2 linked regions of the Mytilus edulis genome follow. The protein of the gene in region 1 interacts with the protein of each later gene in a pairwise test. Links are inferred from orthologs where the notes say so. Each region holds a gene or a part of one and is shown in the gene's direction. Other genes may lie near its edges.

Region 1 (10,388 bases):
AAACTAAAGTTATAGTGCGAAAACCAAGAAAATGCTTATTTGGGCCCTTTGTTGCCCCTAATTCCTAAAATATTGGGACCAAAACTCCCAAAATCAATCCCAATCTTCCTTTTGTGGTCATAAACCTTGTGCTAAAATTTCATTGATTTCTATTCACTTTTACTAAAGTTAGAGTGCGAAAACTAAAAGTATTCGGACGACGACGACGCCAACGTGATAGCAATATACGACCAAAAAATTAAAACTTTTGCGGTCGTATAAAAACTAATCAAAGTATTATATTATCAAAAGATTATGAGAGAATTCCAAAGAAAGGAAAAATGCCACAAACAATTCTGACAGTTAGCACATCATGGTAAGCAAAAAATCCCTGGTAAAAAAAAGGTTTAACCTTGTCACATATACAGAATTTGGATATGAATACACACACCTTTAAACATTATTCTTTTCAACTTCATATAAACAAAATAAATGTATGTGAAGGCCTAATAGCATATGTACTTTCATCTTATTGTCAGAATGAACAGTATTCAATATCCTAAATTTACACCTTGAAAGCTCCAGCTATTCCATAGGTACATTTCATGTCGCGTATGTTCTGTCTGATCATCATTCCTGCAACCTTCTGCCCCTCAGCCTCACTTTCAAATGGTTCAGTCCAGTTACCAGGGTTACAATCTTCCTTCACACCTCTTCCATTTTTAAAGGTAAATGTTATACTGACATCTAATGAGTCTTGTCCCATATTTTCTACAGACCATACAAATACTGCCATTGGAAAACTAGTATCCTAAAATACAATATAAATAAATTATAAATGTTTCAAACAGTATTTCTTTATATTCAGTATTATTTTCCATTAGTGCTCTGGTAGTAAGTAACATTTTTACCTCATGTGTAGGCAGTTGTGTTTTTATATACTTTTTTTTATCCCTTTTATATGCATCAGGGGTGGGTCTAAGTTCAAATTGATATGAATTTGACATTTATCTCAACGATGGTGAAATCCAAGCTTTAAACCATCAAGAATTAAAGAAAAGAAGAATGATTGCAATTATACATGTTATATGATTATATTTTGTAATCATAGCATTGTGTAAAGTTTTACTGATTTGTTTTAACCATAAAAAAATAAGATTTGCAAATGTATATGGTGTAATTCCACCATTGATTTTCCCCTATTGGTCTTTGTTAAATTTGCACTTTTTAAAATATTGGGCAAAAATTATCTTTGTTTCAAATAAAGAAATACTTGGCATGAGTAAAGTTTCGTCATGTCGAGCACTATAGAAAAAATTCCCATGATGTTTATTGCATATAAAAAAAATAACCATCACTGGAAGTTAACCAATCAAATTTTCAACCTTTTTCTTCCTGTGTACAAGCTTAAGAAACCAGGAAACCTCAAGTTTCCAAAATATTCTATAGAAAAAATCAATTAAAAAACATAATGGTACTTTGAAACACCCAAGATATAAGTCTATGACACAGATTTGTTTACTGCAATAAATGTAGGATAAATTTCCTACAACTGTCAAATTCAAGGGAATACTTTTTCAATCCTTTTATCGTATGCAACCAGATGTGATGTACTATGATTTTGTGGTATTACACCTTATTTATGTAACCTGGCCCTATATTGAGTAATTGTTGCTTGCTAATTTAATCCTCTCATCATGCGCATAATAACAAATGATACAGAAAATATATACAATTTTGCCTATTACATCAGTTAGGGAAATGTGTTTACAACCTACCTTGTAATCATTAGGGAAGATGGGTGATATTTGACGACAGGTAAGTTTAAGATTAAACTCAGGTATATCATATACAGTCCATGATCGGGGATAAAGTGCATGATATGTAGCATTCTGTCTGGGAAATCCCCATTCCCAGGATTTTAAGTGCTTCCCTTTTCCTCCTGTTAAGACTTTTTGGTAAACAGTTTTATTGTTCTTTCGTATACACAAGATGAACTACAAAACAAAGATAGAAACATGAAACAAACTATAATATAAAAATAAGATGATGAGACAATGAGACAATTATCTACAAAGGACATAGATGTAAACACCATTAGACAACTATACAGCCATCAACAATGAGCAAAATCAATACCCTATGCTTTAAAACTAAAAAAAGGCTAAAGGATAGAAAAAGTTATCCATTTATACACTTTGCTTTCACAAAAAAAATAACCAGTGTCTGTCTGATGTGGTTGGTATCTACAAATCTTCCTTATGCTAGAACTCACTATAGTTACTTAACCAGGAAATTAAAGTTGCCCCATTCTTTGCATCTTATATTTTCGATAGTTTCTTTCTCCTGTATCTTGTACAAATGCATGGTGAAAATACTACTTGATAAAAAATTCAACCATGATCATATAAGCATAAAACTGACTTCTCATCAACAATTTATCATAGATTGACATTGTCATGTATTTTATGGTGAAATTATAATTTTTCCATGTGCTCCACAGTAAAATACCTTTCCAACAATATTGATGCCACATTTCAGAAAATTCTTATTTATAGTTCCTGAACACTAAATTTCATACATGGTCAGAATTTGTAACAATATATTATAGGTATTCAGTTAACAAAAAGTTCAAAATCTGAATTTAAGGAAGTTTTGATATGTAAATGTAATACCGTAGAAAAATGTGGCAGAACTTTTATGGAATGAACAGATGGACAAACAGATGGCATACACCAGAATAGCATTATACCACTCTCATTAGGTTTGACAATGGTAGGTCATGAAGATTGCAGTTATTATTGTACTTACAGAATTTGCTGGTACAATAGTATGTTCATATATCCCTGGCACCATCTGAAATCTACAAAATTCACCTCGGTAACCACGACCAATGGTCCCACACCCTATACCACCTATTGGACAGCCTGTAAAATATGTAACAGTTTATCTTAAGAATTCTTCTTACAATACAAGATTAAAGGAACTTCTATTTCTTGACACCACAATCCATACCACTAATAAGACAACCACTAAACATATTATGAAATATCTACAAAATTATTAAAAAAATCCTCAACCATGCACTTGTAATAAATATACATAAATGATATAGTTACTGTAAATTCAGAAATTATTGCCGGCATTTACTATTGTGATTTTGTCATTTTAGACTTAAATGTGATTTCAATTTTTAGGATATTGAGAAAAAAATTATATAAAATATTTCAAAATGCTAGTTTAAATTATTGCGTTTACAACTTTGTTGCATTTTTCGCAATAATAAAAACCTCACAATAATTTCTGAATTGACAGTAAACCAACACAACTTTCCCAGGCAGAAACAGTCAATTGGCCCACAACTTACATTGCCATACAGAAATCATGCAAAATAAACAAGATTAAACCATTCCACAATCTATATCCCTTATAAGACCACCTGCAAAATATGTACAAGTATATTTAAAGAATTCTCACTAGAAAAAAGTCCTACAAATATTGTATTATTTCATCATATCTAACATGTCGAACTCATTCTAAGTTACGGGACCTGAATTTAGTATGTATCAGTTTTACCCATTTAATATGACCTGTGACCTTTATTTCAGGTTTATTGTTAAAACCTGACCTGTCAAATTTTCTCTGACAAGCTATCTTTTTGGGGTTTTTTTTTTTTATCATTTGTTTACTGTCTCATTGACAGATATTTAACATGTTATTGAAACGTCACAAAAAAGTTACCATGTTTGTCGACATAAAAGCAGATCATCAAGAAAAATTTTGAGCAATACAATGCGTCTCCAATTCTAGATATTAAAATTGATTGACGAGTCTCAAAATAGGAAAAAAATCCTGTCAGAATTTTTTGGTATATAAATCACCCTTCAAAACTATTGTCAATACTATGGTGGTCAGTTTTTATTAGTTTTGAAGCCCAGGTCTCTGAGCAGAACCACTGAGGCAAGTTTCAGTAGGAAACCTGATACCACATTGTGGACAGACTAGTGAAACAGTAGATAAACTCCTTAGACGACTCAGATACCAAGACTTGATGCAGTGGTCCACTCAATTTGGGGATTCAGTTAAACACAAACTATGTCTTCTGTTAATTCTTACCATAAATAGGCTTGTGAGTAACTTGATTGAGATGATCTATAAACATTATTCTTCCCTGTCTTTTGTGCTTTATCCATACTTTCATATATCTGTAACAACCAACAGTACAAAGTTTTAGACTTTCCGACATTCAATAACATTTTTCTGATAAATAGATTAATTGTTGTTTGCAGTGGAAAATATTTCATGATGTTACGATTTTGTCTTGCATCATGCCACCAACAGACACATAAGAATTCTTTTAACCTTTGACATTTACCGTAAGCATTTTAGAACTAAACTTATGGAAAATACACTATCCAAGTTCAGGGGCGGATCCAGTCCTTTTAAAAAGGGGGGGTTCCTAACCCAGGACAAAGGGGGGGTTCCAATTACATGTCCCGATTCAAATGCATTGATCGTCCAAAAAAAAGGGGGGGTTCCAACCCCCAGAACCCCCCCTCTGAATCCGCGCCTGAAGTTCAACATTCAATGAATAGAGCATTTGCATCAAGGCTCATATAAAGGCCATATTGGAATCATATTAAAGAAATTGCTTGAAAATTTCCTGGTGTATTTCTGTTAAACGGTATCTCTCTATATAAGTCATCTGACTTGCCAAGTGTAAAAAAATACAAAATTATTGTAGGAAAGGTTTTGTAGAAACACAATTTTGTGATAAAAAGGAACATTTTCTGGCAAAAGTAATGTCATCCACATACATGTATGTTAGAAACAGACCAGATGCTGTAATAATATAGAAAAAGAAATTATGTGATATGTGCCTTGGAATATAGATGGCTGCAACGTAAACAAATAACAAATTTCAGAAGTTTTTTCATCCAATTCAAATCCCTGACACAAATTTCTTTCTTAATCTTGTTCATTCAAATAAAATGTTATCATATACAAGCAAAGATTCCATGATTTCCAGTTATAGGAAATGTTGTGCATCCTGGACTAATCAGTCTATTTTTGCAACATGTGCAATGAGGCAAAAGAACGGTACAATTTAGCCAACAAATTTTTAAAGAAACAAACATAAATCTTTCTTGATTTGTCTAGAAGGAGCATGCAATTTTGATGCATGTGCAACAGCACCTTTCCACAAAGTACCTTGCCAGTCTTTATGCATGTTTAAAAACTTGAAACACCCTAGTAAATTCGTACCTATAACCATGTTTAATATGTGGCATAATGTACAATGTCTGGTCACAATGTAAAACGTTTACCTATAGCTAAGACCAATTAATTCAGGAATGTGGGTGAGTCTGGGTTTTACAAATGGATCACATTTGTCCTTGCATTCATGTTCGAAGTTTACTCTCCAACCAAATTTGGGGACATTGGCAATGTCCTCTTTTGGTGTAGTTATGCTAGCTTCGGGGGAATGGTCTATATGTTGAGGTTTTGGCATCTTGCACTTGAAGCCTTGAAGCAAGCAGGGAAGCAAGTCAGTCTTGACCAATACGAATGTCGTTTCTGCCCGCATTTGTTTTAATATTTCAACAGTCCGATTACTTCCGGGGTAAAAATATTGTTGCATAAAAATGTTTTCGAGGTGCTGCAGAACAAAATTAGCTAATCAGACGGTAAACTAACGATAATACTTTTTTTGCATATCATTTTAAAGAGTTATCTTTATTATTTGTGTATATATGTTTTTATAAAGATTGATAATGCGTCACTTTGCAACTTTGACCTTTGATTTTTGTAAAATTATCAGATTATATAAATGAAATATTCCATTTAACCAGTCAATGTCCCACAAGGACAGTTTACAAACAACAGTTTTCATTTAATTTTTACATAACATAAACTTAGAAATAAAAAAATATATACATGTATGCATATACAGCAAGAACAGCATGTACAGTGTTGGTGTTAGTATCATGATTATAAGGATTATGTACGCTTGGGTATCGGGATCGTTCGCTCTGATTACATGTTTGCCCTAGGTTCGTTCGCACTGAGTTTGTTCGCCCTGGGTTCTTTCGCCCTATTTTCATTTATGATATATATGTACAATGGATACGTTACATTAATGATGAAATAAAATATATATATTAAAATTTGGGTTACACTAAAGACCTGAAAGTGGACCTGAAAAGACCTGAAAAGACCTGAAAATATACGACTAAAATTATTCAAATTGCAATAACTTTTTTATTATTGGATGGAATTTCTTCAAGTTGGAATTTTATTAATTGTAAATATTCAGATTTCATTCAAATTAAAAAAAATTAAATAAAAAACAATTTTTTGATGCCAAAAGTTGGACCTGAACGGAGAAATGAAAAGACCTGAAGGGACCTGAAAATCTATGTCGGACTAATTCTAACTACAATAACTTTTTTAATATTCAATGGATATCTTTCAACTTTTGTTTTTGTGACACAAAAAGTTCAATATAATGATAAAATTAAAAAAAAAATATGAAAAATACCATTTGGGTGTGAAAACTCGGAACTGAACGGAAAATTAAGGAACATAAATTTGCTTGAAAAGACTGCGGTCAGATTTATTCAATATCTTTAACTGTTTTCAATCATTCTCCTTGAAATATGAATTTTGTTATAGGAAAGGTATAATATATCAATGAAATTATAAAGAATTTTATCGAAAATATAATTATTTAGTTACAAAATTCGGACCTTGTCGGTGAAATAAAAGACATGAATGGATTATAGGGGTAGTTGTATTTAAACTCGCAAAACATTGTTTTCCTATTTGTTTCTATTTTAGACAAAAGTCTATTGAAGAGAACGAATGACTTTATATTTATACAGGAACATATTTGAAAACAAAGTACATTGTTATTGATGAATCCTGAACCTAAGGGGAAAAAAGAGGAAGATTGTACGTTGAAATTATTCAAACTAATACAACTTGTTTAAACTACATTAATATATATTTTATTCTTATTCTATATTAAAGCTGGTCGTAAACTGCTTTATTTATAAAATGAAAGTATTAGTATTGCTTCCCCATAAACCATATGTCATTTAAAGAGTTCGTCGATTGGAATGTTTTAATTACACGAACGTGTGCCGGTTGTAATTCACACCTTGTTTTGATATTAGGTGATAATTGGATCATTAGTCTAAATAAACATTTCACTTTAATCTTCTAATTGGATTATCACTTTATCTTGTTACACGAACTAAACATTGCTCGGTCACCAATTAAAGTATAGTATAGATCTGTACGAACACAATTTTTACCAAAGTACTATTGTCATTGGCCTAATAATATCAAACTATTAAATTTACTACAAGCTTCTAGTAAGTCTCTCACGATCAAATTATGTAATTATGTAAAAGCTGCATTGAATATTCGATCTTATATAGTCTCATAACTCAATTTATATGTCATTGTATTTTACTATTGTTCTCTGTTGTCTATTCATGTTTTATATTATGTAATATATGTTGTTAATTTTGCCATAGCCTGTCTATGCTTTGCAATAAAGATTCATTCATTCAAGTATAAACTTTACAAATTAAAAATATAAGCATATATCAAACTAATCAGTGAATTCAGATCAACGCTCTTACTTTTTATAAATTATAGTCAACTTTGAATCGTTTTTAGTCAGAATAAAAATATTCAACAAAGTGCGTACAAGTATAGTTTCCAACGTTATTATATATCAGCATGTCTCCTGCATTGCCATTACCTTTGCTAACTGAACACACCAGACTAACATCATACCGATCGAGACGCTATATATATCCAGGTTCATTCAGGACTTCATTTTTCATTCAACAGGTCCGACGTTTGTCACAAAGTGCAGGTTCCAGACTTGGGACACCACAAAAATTGTGACGGGGTTATTGTAGTTTAAAGACACCAAACCTTTTTCTCAATTATTTATTTCTATGGTATATCTCTTTGACTTATAAGTTTTGACATCCGAGTTTTGATTATTCCTTGGTATCTTCAATCTTTATCATGTTAGTATCTCCTGTCAATAAAAAATAGGGAGATGTGGTGTGATACCAATGAGACAGATCTCTACAAGAGACCAAATGACATCGAACATGAAAAGTTATCAATCATATTTTTCGTCTATGTTTATTATTTTCGTTTTAAAATAATGTGGAATTTTAGGCTCATTCAGATTTTGAATTTTTCGTTCAGGTCCGAATTTTGACACCCCAACAATATTTTTCACATATTTTTTTTCATATTATCATTATATTGAACTTTTTGTGTCATAAAATCAAAAGTTGAAAGATATCCATTGAATATTAAAAAAGTTATTGTAGTTAGAATTAGTCCGACATAGATTTTCAGGTCCCTTCAGGTCTTTTCATTTCTCCGTTCAGGTCCAACTTTTGGCATCAAAAAATTGTTTTTTATTTAATTTTTTTTTAATTTGAATGAAATCTGAATATTTACAATTAATAAAATTCCAACTTGAAGAAATTCCATCCAATAATAAAAAAGTTATTGCAATTTGAATAATTTTAGTCGTATATTTTCAGGTCTTTTCAGGTCTTTTCAGGTCTTTTCAGGTCCACTTTCAGGTCTTTAGTGTAACCCTTAAAATTTATGTACATGTATATCTATTAAAAGTTAAATACAGAATATTAATGAAATAAAATTCTTGGCTGCATTGTTACACTTTATTTTATAATTACTTTTAATTACTGTTGATTGAATTTTGATTGCTGATAATTTGAAATCTTTGATATCACTGATTGTTATATGAATTGTCTTTGATGGATTAATAATGAAAATAACTTTTTTCTCAAATAAATTTTTTACAAAGTTATTGCCAAACTGTGACAAGCCGTCCGACAACCCACTAGACAACGTTCAGCCGCTGCAGTAAAGAATTTTAGATCAATTAACACTTTGAACTTTGAACACTTTCTTATGTATAACTTTAGTGCTCCTAATGTATCATTTTTATTGATCAAATCATGTGTGGAAATGTAAAGTAAAAGGATGTGTGATAGTGATTTTCTAGTAATGTAATTACATACAGATACTAACTTAGTTCTCAATAGTTCGTAAATATTCGGCAAAATTGTAGACTGACTTCAACATATAAAATTAAATACACACAACACAACACTATAATAAAAAATAAAAATCAGGGCAAACGGTCTCAGGGCGAAACGGAACAAGGGCGAACAGTAACTAGGGCGAACCGAAATCAGGGCGGACGGACTATACGCTTGTGTTGATTTATAGGTCATTTCTGGAATCATGTCTTTCACCAAAAAAAGATCATCAATTTGTCAGTCTTTAAGACATCATGTCCGAGATAAAAGGCACGTCTATATCCCTGCTCTATTAAAAGTTTCAAGCATCTTCATAATCGTCATTCTGTAGGGTTGTATACATGTACATGAAATGGTACATGTATAGAAATAATTTATGTTCCGTAAGTACCTAATCTTGATTCCTGTACAACTGAGGGAGGGTGACCATCTTATTAGATTTTAATTAAACAAATAATTATGGACCAACTCATGTACACCTTCAATTTTGTGACTCAGCATGAGGTTTTTTTGGAATTTATAGGTTGTTAAGAACTTTTTGAAAACATTGTATGCTAGCACATCATAGCAAAACAATCTTTACAATTTTATAACAAAAATCTCTGTCATGTCTGTATTAAAGTCTGTGGATTTTCTACAAAATTCATGGTTATATTTGCCACAAAATTCCCTTTTCTACTAAACGCTTAAAACAATAAATAAAAATGCTTTGCCTGAAGTATCACGAAGTAATATGAACAATATGGCCAATCTCTATTATTCTTTATCTTTGCTGTTATGATACTATTGTAGTTCAAAAATTTCCTAATTCACATGGCTATAAAAGGGTCATAAACCTCAATGTAGGCTACATGAGAAGCCATGCATAAGCTCTTATTGTTGATTATTGCTTTTCAGAGAAGAGCTTTTTTATTCTTATGTTACATCAGTAGTCATATGATAAATTAGTAATGTCACAATGACCATCCCTCATATATATATGCAACAGATAACAGGTGAAAACCCAGCAAGCTTTTTTGGTAGATAATTCTGTAGCTAGTAAAATGAACAACTGGACAAAATTTACAAATACTTTATGTAGACCTACACATGTAGGTCAACATAAATGAAGCAGAAATTGACTACTGACACCTTTCAGGAGTTAATATTGCCCTTAGTGACGATTTTTTTATACCCTATTGCATTTAAGGCAAAAATTACAAAAGATAGAGAGAAACTGTAAAATGATGACCAGCAATGCAAGATCATAAAGATATGATCAACAAAAAGGAGATTTTATCATGAATAATAAAATTATTC
Region 2 (10,535 bases), on another chromosome or scaffold:
TTTGTCCATCTGTTTCGCAATCCGGAAATTTGCCAAGTCTTAATAAAGACACAATAAAGCTTTTGCTGTCGATTAAATTAGCCTCTATGTTCCTTGTTGTCATAACTTACTGTTTTGGTATGTGTTCATCATAGAGAGTTGAAGAAAAGTGTATGAAAATTGAATAAACCACGCTCGTTTTGAAAATATAAACCACCATTTTTTCTAATGTATTGATCAGGTGATCGCAAGTCACGTGGGTCAGTCATGTGACTTAATACAAAGTATTGTAAAGTGATGATTTACTCTATGAGAAGTTTATTTTTGTAAATACGTTTTTACTTTGTAACTTTTAAACTTTTAAAAACTGTTCAAGAAATAATGATTGAAAACATGATAATCCCATAATTGTCACCTGAACAAATTTAATTAGGAACAAGGTCAACCTGTCACTGAATTGTTTTGACATCGATTAGACCTGTTGATTGAGGTGTGATAATCCGGATTAACAGCTAGAATCATCAAACAAAAAATGAAAACAATGAGATTTTAACAATTTATTACAGCACTAATGACATTAATTATAATTATTAAACTGATTCGTAATTATTATTAAATTGTTTGAATCAGAACAATAATTTGGACATTTAATCTTGTCCTTGATACTCAAACCATTTATTAAATTTGGATTAAAATATTTATCTCAATCTATTAAAATTCTTATTCATTTGTTAGAATACTTTTAATTTCATATAAATTAAGTATTCCGCACGGAATTCTCCGACATTGGTGTCCATTTAAAAAACTTCCTGTTTACCGAAAACTTCCTGTTTGCCGATTTTGGAGCTGTAACTTTTCCGAAAATGTCTAGGAGTATTATACGAACAAGAAACTTTTTTTCTCTCGTTTCTTGGACCAGAAAGGGGGTGCGCACAATACATCAATGCGCGCTATACATACCAAAAGACGGTAATTTGTTTTTTTTTACAAATTCAAAATAGGACATTTTAGTTATAAGCTAAGACAGTTCTGAATATCAAACATGTTTCTTAGTCAAACAAAAGACCCACCTGAATAAATGCAGTTGTACTTAACCCTAAAATGTAAAGGCAGTTTTGAACAATTCCAGATATACTGATCATGCTAATATACAGAAAAGAAAGAAACTGATAAATCATACCTTTTCTGTTGGAATCATGCCTTTCATTTCCCAGTCTTCATTCAAACTAATCACACCTTTAATATTTTCATCTTCAACAAGCTGTAAAAGTTAAAAGAAAGAATACAGATTATTTTTCACAAAAGTTATTGGATGTTGGATGTGTATGGATTGATAGTTTAGTCTTAAATGCATGATTTTTTTATTAGTTGTTAGTGACTTTGAACTAGCTGTCAATTAACTTTGAGTACTCTCAGATTTGTACCTAGTGTATTTTGTTGTTGTTGTCGGCCACGTTACTTGTATTTTTGTCCATCTAATGAGTTAAGCCTTTTCAACTGATTTTTATAGCTCATTCTTATGTTGTACTGTACATGTTATACCACTGTCCCAGGTTAGAGGAGGGTTGGGATCCCGCTAACATGTTTGTATTTATGTATGTGCCTGTCCCAAGTCAGGAGCCTGTAATTTAGTGGTTGTCATTTGTTTATGTTTTACCTTTTTGTTTTTCATTCTTTTTTTGTACATAAATAGGGCCTTTAGTTTTCTCGTTTGCATGTTTTACATTGTCATTTCGGGGCCTTTTACAGCTGACTATGCAGTATGGGCTTTGTTCATTGTTGAAAGCCGTACAGTGACCTATAGCTGTTAATCTGTGTGTCATTTCGGTCTCTTTGGAAAGTTGTCTCATTTGCAATCATACCACATCTTCTTTTTTTATGTGACATGTTCCTTTATTATCATTTTTCATTGTAGTCTTTGTAGTTAATAATTTTGTACAGTCCAATGTCCTTGACAACATACATGTAGAGTTGACCTATTGCTTATAGTATCTTAGAAATAGACAAAACCATGAAAACTAAACATTGTTCAATGAACCATGAAATTGAGGTCAAGGTCAGATGAAATCTGTCAGTTGGACATGCATATACTCTTTACTATCAATCAATTCACAAATTTCATTTGTTGTTTATTATCTTTTTCTAATTTAGTCCTTTCGTAATCAATAATTTTGTTCAGTCCAATGTCCATAATCAAATAGAGTTGAGTCTTGACCTATAGCTTATAGCATTTGAGATATAGACCAAACACAAATACTTAATATTGTTTACCGTAGTGAACCATATAATTGAGGTCAAGGTCAGATGAAATCTGTCAGTCAGAGTCAGACATATACCCCTAACAAAATTCCATACATCAAATAAATTTGACCTTTTGCCAACAGTATTTGGGATAAGGACTTCACCTACCTTTAACCTTGGTTACACATCCACTGAAAAAAGGTAAAAGTCGGGTGTACTGAACCTGATAAACCTATAGACGTTGAAATTACCCATATATACAAAATGTAGTTTGAAAAAATCATTTTATTTCAAGCAGTTACTGAACTATGAAAATGAGGTCAAGGACAGTGGACAAATGACAGATATAAACTAGTTAACAGAGGTATCTGCATAAAAAATATTAAGCATCTAGGTCTTCTAGTTCAACGGTCTAAAATATAAAGCTTAACACAAATGGTTTATGCAGTGACTGTTGCTGGATGTCTCACATCTTGTACTTTCTGCACTTGCCAGAAAAAAAGCAGACATAAACATGGTAAAATTTGTTATCAAGTTAAAAGTATATCAAGTGTATCTGCATCATCACCCTTTAAAAGAAAAATCATTGCAGTTCAAATGATGCCTATTTAGAATGTTCCCATGGGTGTTCACAGATTGTGTGTTTTCCAATGTATCATAGTATTAAGAAGCTGTATTTTGAAATTTTGGTTTTGGGGTGGGTTTATTTTATATATATTTTTGCTTAACAGCAAAATTTGCATTAGATGTGCAACATTTTTTTTAAATCCTCAAAGGGGGAGAAATCAATATGGCTGTTTTTTATAATTTCTATTAAGGGGAAAGCACTAACGATGGTTATACCTTTTTACTATTTTCCTTCAAGGGGAGAGCACCCAATACCACTGTTTCATCAATTCTGTTGTACCATTGTCTGTTTGTTATCTTTGTCATAAGTTTGTTATAATACAACGTTGGATAGAAGGCAATCTTCCCAAATAAGCTTCCTGACATAATCAATCTTTATTCTTCTATTTTCAAGCTGCACCAACACCTAGAAATATAAAACAAATGACATATGCATGAAATGGAAAATATTTAAAAAATAAAAATCAAATCAAATATTTTATTTTTCCAATAAGGGTCCCACAAGGGGCATTTACAATTAGCAATTATGATAGTATAAGCAACAAACATGAGACATTGTACAGTATATAACGTGACAGATATTATAAGAAACAAATGAAAATAGCATTAATAACAAAAATACATTAAAAGTACTTTTTTTTCCTTCCTTCCATCCTTTTAACCATTATTATTTAATTGTCCAGCAGTGCACAAATAAAAAAATATTAATAATAAAGTTTGAACAGACTTAAATTATTATCTATAAAGATGGAAATTTGTTCATCTGCAAGAGACACCAAGGGACGGTGCTCAAGGATATACTGTTGATTGAGATAGGCAATAACAGCAATCCTTCCCGTGTCAGAAGCAGATGAACAAAATAAATAGAGAAACTGAATCCTGTCAATTAACAAATATTATTTTAAATAACAACAATGAGGGGGGATAGGAAAAAATGTAGGAGGGGTCCTGATCCCAAAATCCCGGGCTTAAAAACACGAAATCCAGAGGTCCCAAATTTAAATAAAGTAAATCCGGAAATAAAATAAAAAAAGAATTCCCGAATCCCAAAGGGTCAATCCCGAAATCCCGAGCTTAAAAACACCTGATCCCGGAGTCCCGATAAAGGTCCTATCCCCCCTCAACAATAGCTAATTTTGCGAAACATGTAATATTAATCTGCTATTTGCAGTGTTTAACCAGGAATATACACAACTCTTTTAATACTGTTACAGTTGAGTTCTCACAAGACAGCAGCCATAGCAATTTCTCTTGGGAATTTAAATTAATGAAATTGGGACATGATTCAGAAATAATTTGATATAACTGATGTCTGTCTTACAAAAAATAAATTTTTATAAAAATAATATTTTATTGTTGAATTTTGTATGCAGTAGCATTTTTCAAAGTACTTTGTTTATCCCATGAAATATCAAACATTACCACATAGTACCAGAGGTAATTCAAACAAAAAATATACCCTTAAGAAAACAGATTTACAGAGTAATTGAGAGATTTATATTCTAAAGGACAATTCATCCAATTCATCAGAACTACATCATAACATACTCAGCTCTGCATTAAAGAGTTATTATGATTAAAGCAAAATATCACACACAGGGTTTCTTTTGAGATTGGGAAATGATGATGTAATATTTTTGACATAAATTACTAGCCAAGATTTTTTTTTTTTTTTATCTGTCCTACATTCTATTTATATGCATAGTTGTTGTCACTTTCTTTCGTATATCATTATATAGCAACATATAAATGAAAAAAAAACTTTCATTGTTTGTAAGATGCAATCATAATAGTTTTAAATATAAGAATGTAGGACAGAAAGTCACAGGACAAAAAGTCACAATTCATTTTTTCTAATTATTTTCTTTGAATAAAAACCACTTATTTCTACTTTTCTTGAGCTATTGTATATAAACCAACTTTGTTAACAAAATTTATCAAAAATATATCAAAGATGATCAAATAATTGCTAAAAAAAACAAAATGTCAAAGTGGTTTGGCACTTAAATGGCTTCATGGTGCCAAGAAATATATCTTTTGCCTGATTAGAATTAAATAAATCTTGATTTTTCAAGTATAATGACACATTTCCTAAACTTTAATAATGTTGCAATGTTTAGATACCTTTTCATGTTAGCACAAGAAACAACATTTCGATCGCCATCGTTAGACAAGATGAAAAGTATTCTAGACAATTGTGGATTCTCTTACTTATGGTCATTCCAAAACACATCACCTAACATTAAATCGATAATTAAACAAAGACTAGAAGATCAGTTTACACAGTCATGGTCAGGAAAGGTAAACGATTCGCCGAAAGCCCTGAATTATCGCCTATGCAAGACATCACACAATTTCGAACACTACCTTAACGTACTTGATGATAAAGATGTAATAACAATGTCGCGGTTTAGGACAATGAACCATAAACTGCCGATTGAAAATGGTAGATGGCAAAACATTCCCCGAGAACAGAGAAAGTGTCCGTTGTGCAGAGTTGCTATAGGTGACGAATACCACTATGTAATGGAATGCAGCAGTCTCTTAACAGATAGAACACTACTTATTGACAAGAAATGACTAACAAACTTTAATGTTTTAAAATTTAATGCTATTATGAACCAAAAACAGAAATCTAAACTTCGAAAATTGTGCCAATTTATTAGAATTATAAATGACAAACTGGATTCTCTCTGATGTTAACCTGTCGGCTATACTGATCATACTGTTGTAAAAAACTCATATTTAATGCTTCCTCAACAAATGTACAATACTACATATATGCAATGTAATGTAAACTAATGTGTTTTTCTGTATACCTTTGTCCAACTTAGGTGATACCAGAATAAAATGATATATAATTTATATATCATTTTATTTATATGAATATATGTATTTATAAAAGTAAATATTTCAAAATATTTCTCTTATATATATATTCAAATAATTGTCAACAAATTATTTGTGACTTTTTGTCCTATCAAATTTGTGACTTTATGTCCTGTGACTTTTTGTCCTGTGACTTTCTGTCCGTTTATCTATAAATAATATCAAATAAAGCATAGGTACGAGTTGATAAAAATAGGGTACGAGTTGGTTGAGTACGAGTTGTCGTATACAACATTGTCATTGAGTTTAAAAAATCATATTCCGGTATACATGTTACTGAAAAAAGGTTTCTTTTTTCATTTAATTCGAAAACTGTTTGTTCCTAAACATTGACACTTAGTAGCAGGTCTTTTTTATATCAACATTTACATTTTCACATTTCACATGATTCTTTGCCAAACTCTTCTGTCTTTGAAAACCACAAAAGTTATACAAAGGATAACTTATTATTCAAATGTTTTTATAACCTTTATTCTTTTTTTTTTTAACTTTAGTTTGCTTGGTGTGGTAAAGTTTAATTGAAATTCTAATAACTTTATTTTTAACAGTGTAATTTTATTGACGATTTATCCATTACAATAAAAATTAAAGTTGTCGTTATTAGGGCTCCAATAAATTCTCCCGGTTCAAAGGTCAAAATGTCAGCACTGAGAGTGTTAGTTGGTTGCAAAAGAGTTATAGATTATGCTGTTAAAGTAAGATATTGTCACCCTATAGGAAATATTCATAGCAGTCTAAATAGTCAGGACAACTTTTTACAAAATATGTTAAAAAATATGTAACAAGCGTTTGGTTAAACATGTTATTTTTTTGTTAAAGTTTAACCTTTACCACTTTTTTATTTAGAGCTTACACTTACAAATGACTTAAGTATCATCAATTACATAAAAGACCATATTAATTTCACAAATGGGCTAATATGTAAATGTATAAACGATAAAGTAATGAAATGACATGTCACACAAAAGTCTCTGTATTCAGTGGCATGAAAATTGTAGCTATAGCCTATAGTTTTTGTCCTGGGACTATAATAATTTATACTAAGAATAATAATAGAATAAGTACAATAGTCCCCCAGCTATGCCCATGGCCTAAAGTGAAGCACATACACTAAACATGGGAAATGGAACAGGATCTCTTTGTGTAAGTGTCAACTTTGCATATTTAGGTTCCTGGCAGATGATTCTAGAGTTCCTGGAGGGCCCTAGCAGGATACATATAAGTGATGCAAAATCCTGCATTATCATTATGCTGCAACTCTAAAACAGCCTGTACTAATCTTTAATCATGTTAATGAAGTTAATCCAACAAAATCTTTAAAGGCATCAAAATACAAATGTTAGAATAGCACAGGATGCTTGCCATATGGCTACCTTATTTCAAGTCTAATCAGAGATGAGTGCCAAAATCAAATCATTTCACTTTCAATTAATGAAAGATTTGAATTGTATTCGTATTCATAGCCAATTTCTTTACAATTGTTATTGATATTGATTTCTTATTAACTTCAATCAGCTTTCTATGACAATTTTTTCCGAGGTCAAACTATTTTCTCTTCAGTTGTTTGGACAGAGTATTAATTGAAAGAGTTATCTCCTCCTTTGTTTTTATTTCATGATATATATCGCAGCTGACAGAGTAGAGGTTACATAGGAATCCTCATATAGGTTTGTGACCATTAGTCACTTTTTGGAGCTTCCATATGATAGAGAACCACTTTTTTGAAATTGTCATTTTAATGTAATGTATTAAATCTCTAAGGACATGAAGGATAGGTTAAGCTATTGTCATGATTGTCTTTTTCATTTTCACAATTCCAGAGTTTAAATTCAAACTTGTGAATTTTGGATAATAAATGGAAAATCCCTTTTTCAAATTCATTGAAATTTTGAAGGACTGTTTCTGAGAAGCACAGGTTGAGTTCATTTTCTTCATCACTCTTGCTGTTCCAGAGCATTGTTCATGTTGTTGCTTGATAATTGAATTAAGATCAATATTTTGTGGTTTCTTAGGATTAAATGGAGAACCATTTTTAATACCATGTGTATGAAACTGAAGGAAGTTTCAATCGAAGTTTTGACAACCAACTTAGATTAGGTTTGATTAGCATTAAAACCGATATTGTATGGTTAGTGATATTGAGTGACTCCAAAAGGAATTTAAGTCATGTAAGTTCTCTACGGTCAGTAGGCTTATTATTGTCTTGTAACACAGATTTATTCATTGATAAATAGAGGAATACATCATTTCTGATTTAATCTACTACACTTCACATCAGCATGTTTATTACGGAAATAATACCCTATGGAAAATCCATCATTGAATTTTTATGCTGGTGTACTTCTTACCAAAAGGAAAGAGGTCCTTACCAGGATAAAAATCACTGTTACTGACACATTCCACTTCAACTTTAAGTACATTGGTGTTTATTATATGAATCTAACATAATTATACAGTGATTTGCAGGAATACTTTTTTGGAATATAAATATGTAAAGAGCAAAAGTTATGTAAGCAAGGTAAAATTTGTAATTCAATGTTTCATATGAATGATAACAGTCATGCATTCTTTTTATTTGAATAGATTCGGGTGAAGCCAGATAAAACTGGTGTGGTAACTGATGGAGTCAAACATAGTATGAACCCATTTGATGAAATAGCTATAGAAGAAGCTGTTAGACTTAAAGAAAAGAAAATAGCATCAGAAGTGATAGCTGTGTCATGTGGACCAAAGCAATGTCAGGTCTGTTTACATATGAGTTAAATGAGTTAGGTCAAATATGATTATCAGGCATAAATATAAAATTACTACTTAGATATTGGAAGATGTGGTGTAAGTGCCAATGAGACAACTCTCCATCCAAATAACAATTTATAAAAGTAAACCATTATAGGTCAATGTACGGCCTTCAACACAGAGTCTTGGCTCACACCAAACAAAAAGCTATAAAGGGCCCCAAAATTACTAGTGTCAAACCATTCAAACAGGAAAACCAACGGTCTAATACTTAGCATGTTTAGCAAACTAAATGTTAGAGACAGTAAACTTGCAAGGAATGATGATAGTTTTAATTAACAGATCTGTACATCTGAATTTTTATCATGTTTATGTAGGATAACATAGTTGCCATGTGTTTATGTTAATTCCCCTGATTTTTAAGCTAACAATTCATTATTTTATCTTTATAGAATGTGTTACTCTTCTGACACAAAATGTATCGAACAAATTTCTAAGTTTGTATTTTGTAATGTATCATAAGAATCATTAATTGTACATATATTGTCCTTACCACTTGTTGTAAAGCAAACAAAAATCAACCAATCACAGATTTCCTTATAATGTTCAAAATGTTTTCAGTGTACAAAATGGTAACATTTTGCTACAGAATTTAAAATATGCATGACTATAGGTGTAAAACTGAAAGCGTCTCTTAGTGTTGAGGTCAGTTGTCCTAGATTTTCATGATCCATTATGATCTTAATATATATTTCAATGATGATTCATGTAAAATTAGTTGATGGAATACACTCATAGGAATTTATTGAGCCATGTGATCTATGAAGGAAATATCTACCTTACAAATAAATAAAGAATAACACTTCACTTTTATCCAAGTCAGAATTTGTTTAAAAGAATTAAAATGTTAATCAATAAAGAGATACACACTTATCTTTGTTCAATAAATTATCTTTTAAAAAAAATTAGAATTTTCTTTTTCCTGTGCTCTTTAAGTTTTCAATTGATATGATGGTCACTAGTCACTAACTTGCCTTGTGTAGAAGTATCTGGCATACTTAATTTATATCATAAGCCTTTGATAACTTTTGCTGTTCCAATATACAGTACAAATTGAAATAGCGTTTGAAGATTGCATGACATACTTTGATTTCATATTTCAATGTCTGCAAATTTTAAACCTTCTTAAAATTCATGATAATGGACTCAAAAGTGGGTAAGCCTATTGAAGATTAACATGCTTGAAGTATTGATGGACTAAGATTTTTTTTAAATATTTCAGGAAACATTAAGAACTGCACTAGCCATGGGAGCTGACAGAGCCATACATGTTAACATAGATCCTAAAGATTATGAAACTTTACAACCAATTCACGTTTCCAAATTCTTAGCAAAAATTGCACAGGATGAAAAAGCTGACATAGTAATAGTTGGGAAACAGGTAAATAACTATAAGATTTTTATTGTATATAAAAATACATTCATGGATAGATATCAACATGTATTACATTGTAATTTAAGTTATCTCATTAACCTAATTACTGGTCATATCAATCTAGAGAGCCATATCTCTTGCCCGTTAAAGACACCCTTGTAAATTTCGAAAAAGAGCAGGCTAATGTAGCTACAAGGCAGCACTCCCACCTGCAAAGTAAAAAGGGATTAATATAAGTTGCAAAACTTGTTTCCCAATCCACTAAAACCAACTATATTGAAATCTAATCCTAAAAAATACAGAAATAACTACTTTTATTTAAAAACTATCAACAATAGAACTTGATTAAAACATTCAGCTGATTTTCACAAAGTTATCTCCCTGTAGTGTTATGGTCCAACTTAATTCAAAATTCAGAATATATCCATAAATTAGTCAGGACCTCAACTTTTAAAATATTTTAGGACCTCAATAGTTCAATTTCAGGATATCCAAAAATATTTGATTTTTTTTGCAATATATGGTGTTAAACAAAACGGCTTATAAAGCTCCATAAGGTTAAACAGATTTTGTTAATTTTTTGGTGTGACATAACTTTATACTTATACCATAGATTTTGTTGAAACCC

The links.
Region 2: the proteins of electron transfer flavoprotein subunit alpha, mitochondrial-like (region 1) and electron transfer flavoprotein subunit beta-like interact in a two-hybrid assay, tested with the Drosophila melanogaster proteins (2 studies listed by BioGRID). The link is inferred for Mytilus edulis from reciprocal best matches to the Drosophila melanogaster genes wal and Etfb.

The regions. Positions count from the first base shown.
Region 1 is NC_092347.1:28,763,623-28,774,010, reverse strand, and holds the start of electron transfer flavoprotein subunit alpha, mitochondrial-like, read left to right. Parts: upstream 1-5,566; 5' UTR 5,567-5,624; coding exon 5,625-5,666; intron 5,667-10,388. Other genes in the region: non-lysosomal glucosylceramidase-like, read right to left, coding at 551-790, 1,758-1,976, 2,791-2,906, 4,096-4,184, 5,307-5,566.
Region 2 is NC_092348.1:27,178,976-27,189,510, forward strand, and holds the start of electron transfer flavoprotein subunit beta-like, read left to right. Parts: upstream 1-6,274; 5' UTR 6,275-6,374; coding exon 6,375-6,431; intron 6,432-8,319; coding exon 8,320-8,478; intron 8,479-9,754; coding exon 9,755-9,913; intron 9,914-10,535. Other genes in the region: phosphatidylglycerophosphatase and protein-tyrosine phosphatase 1-like, read right to left, coding at 1,160-1,240, 3,064-3,213.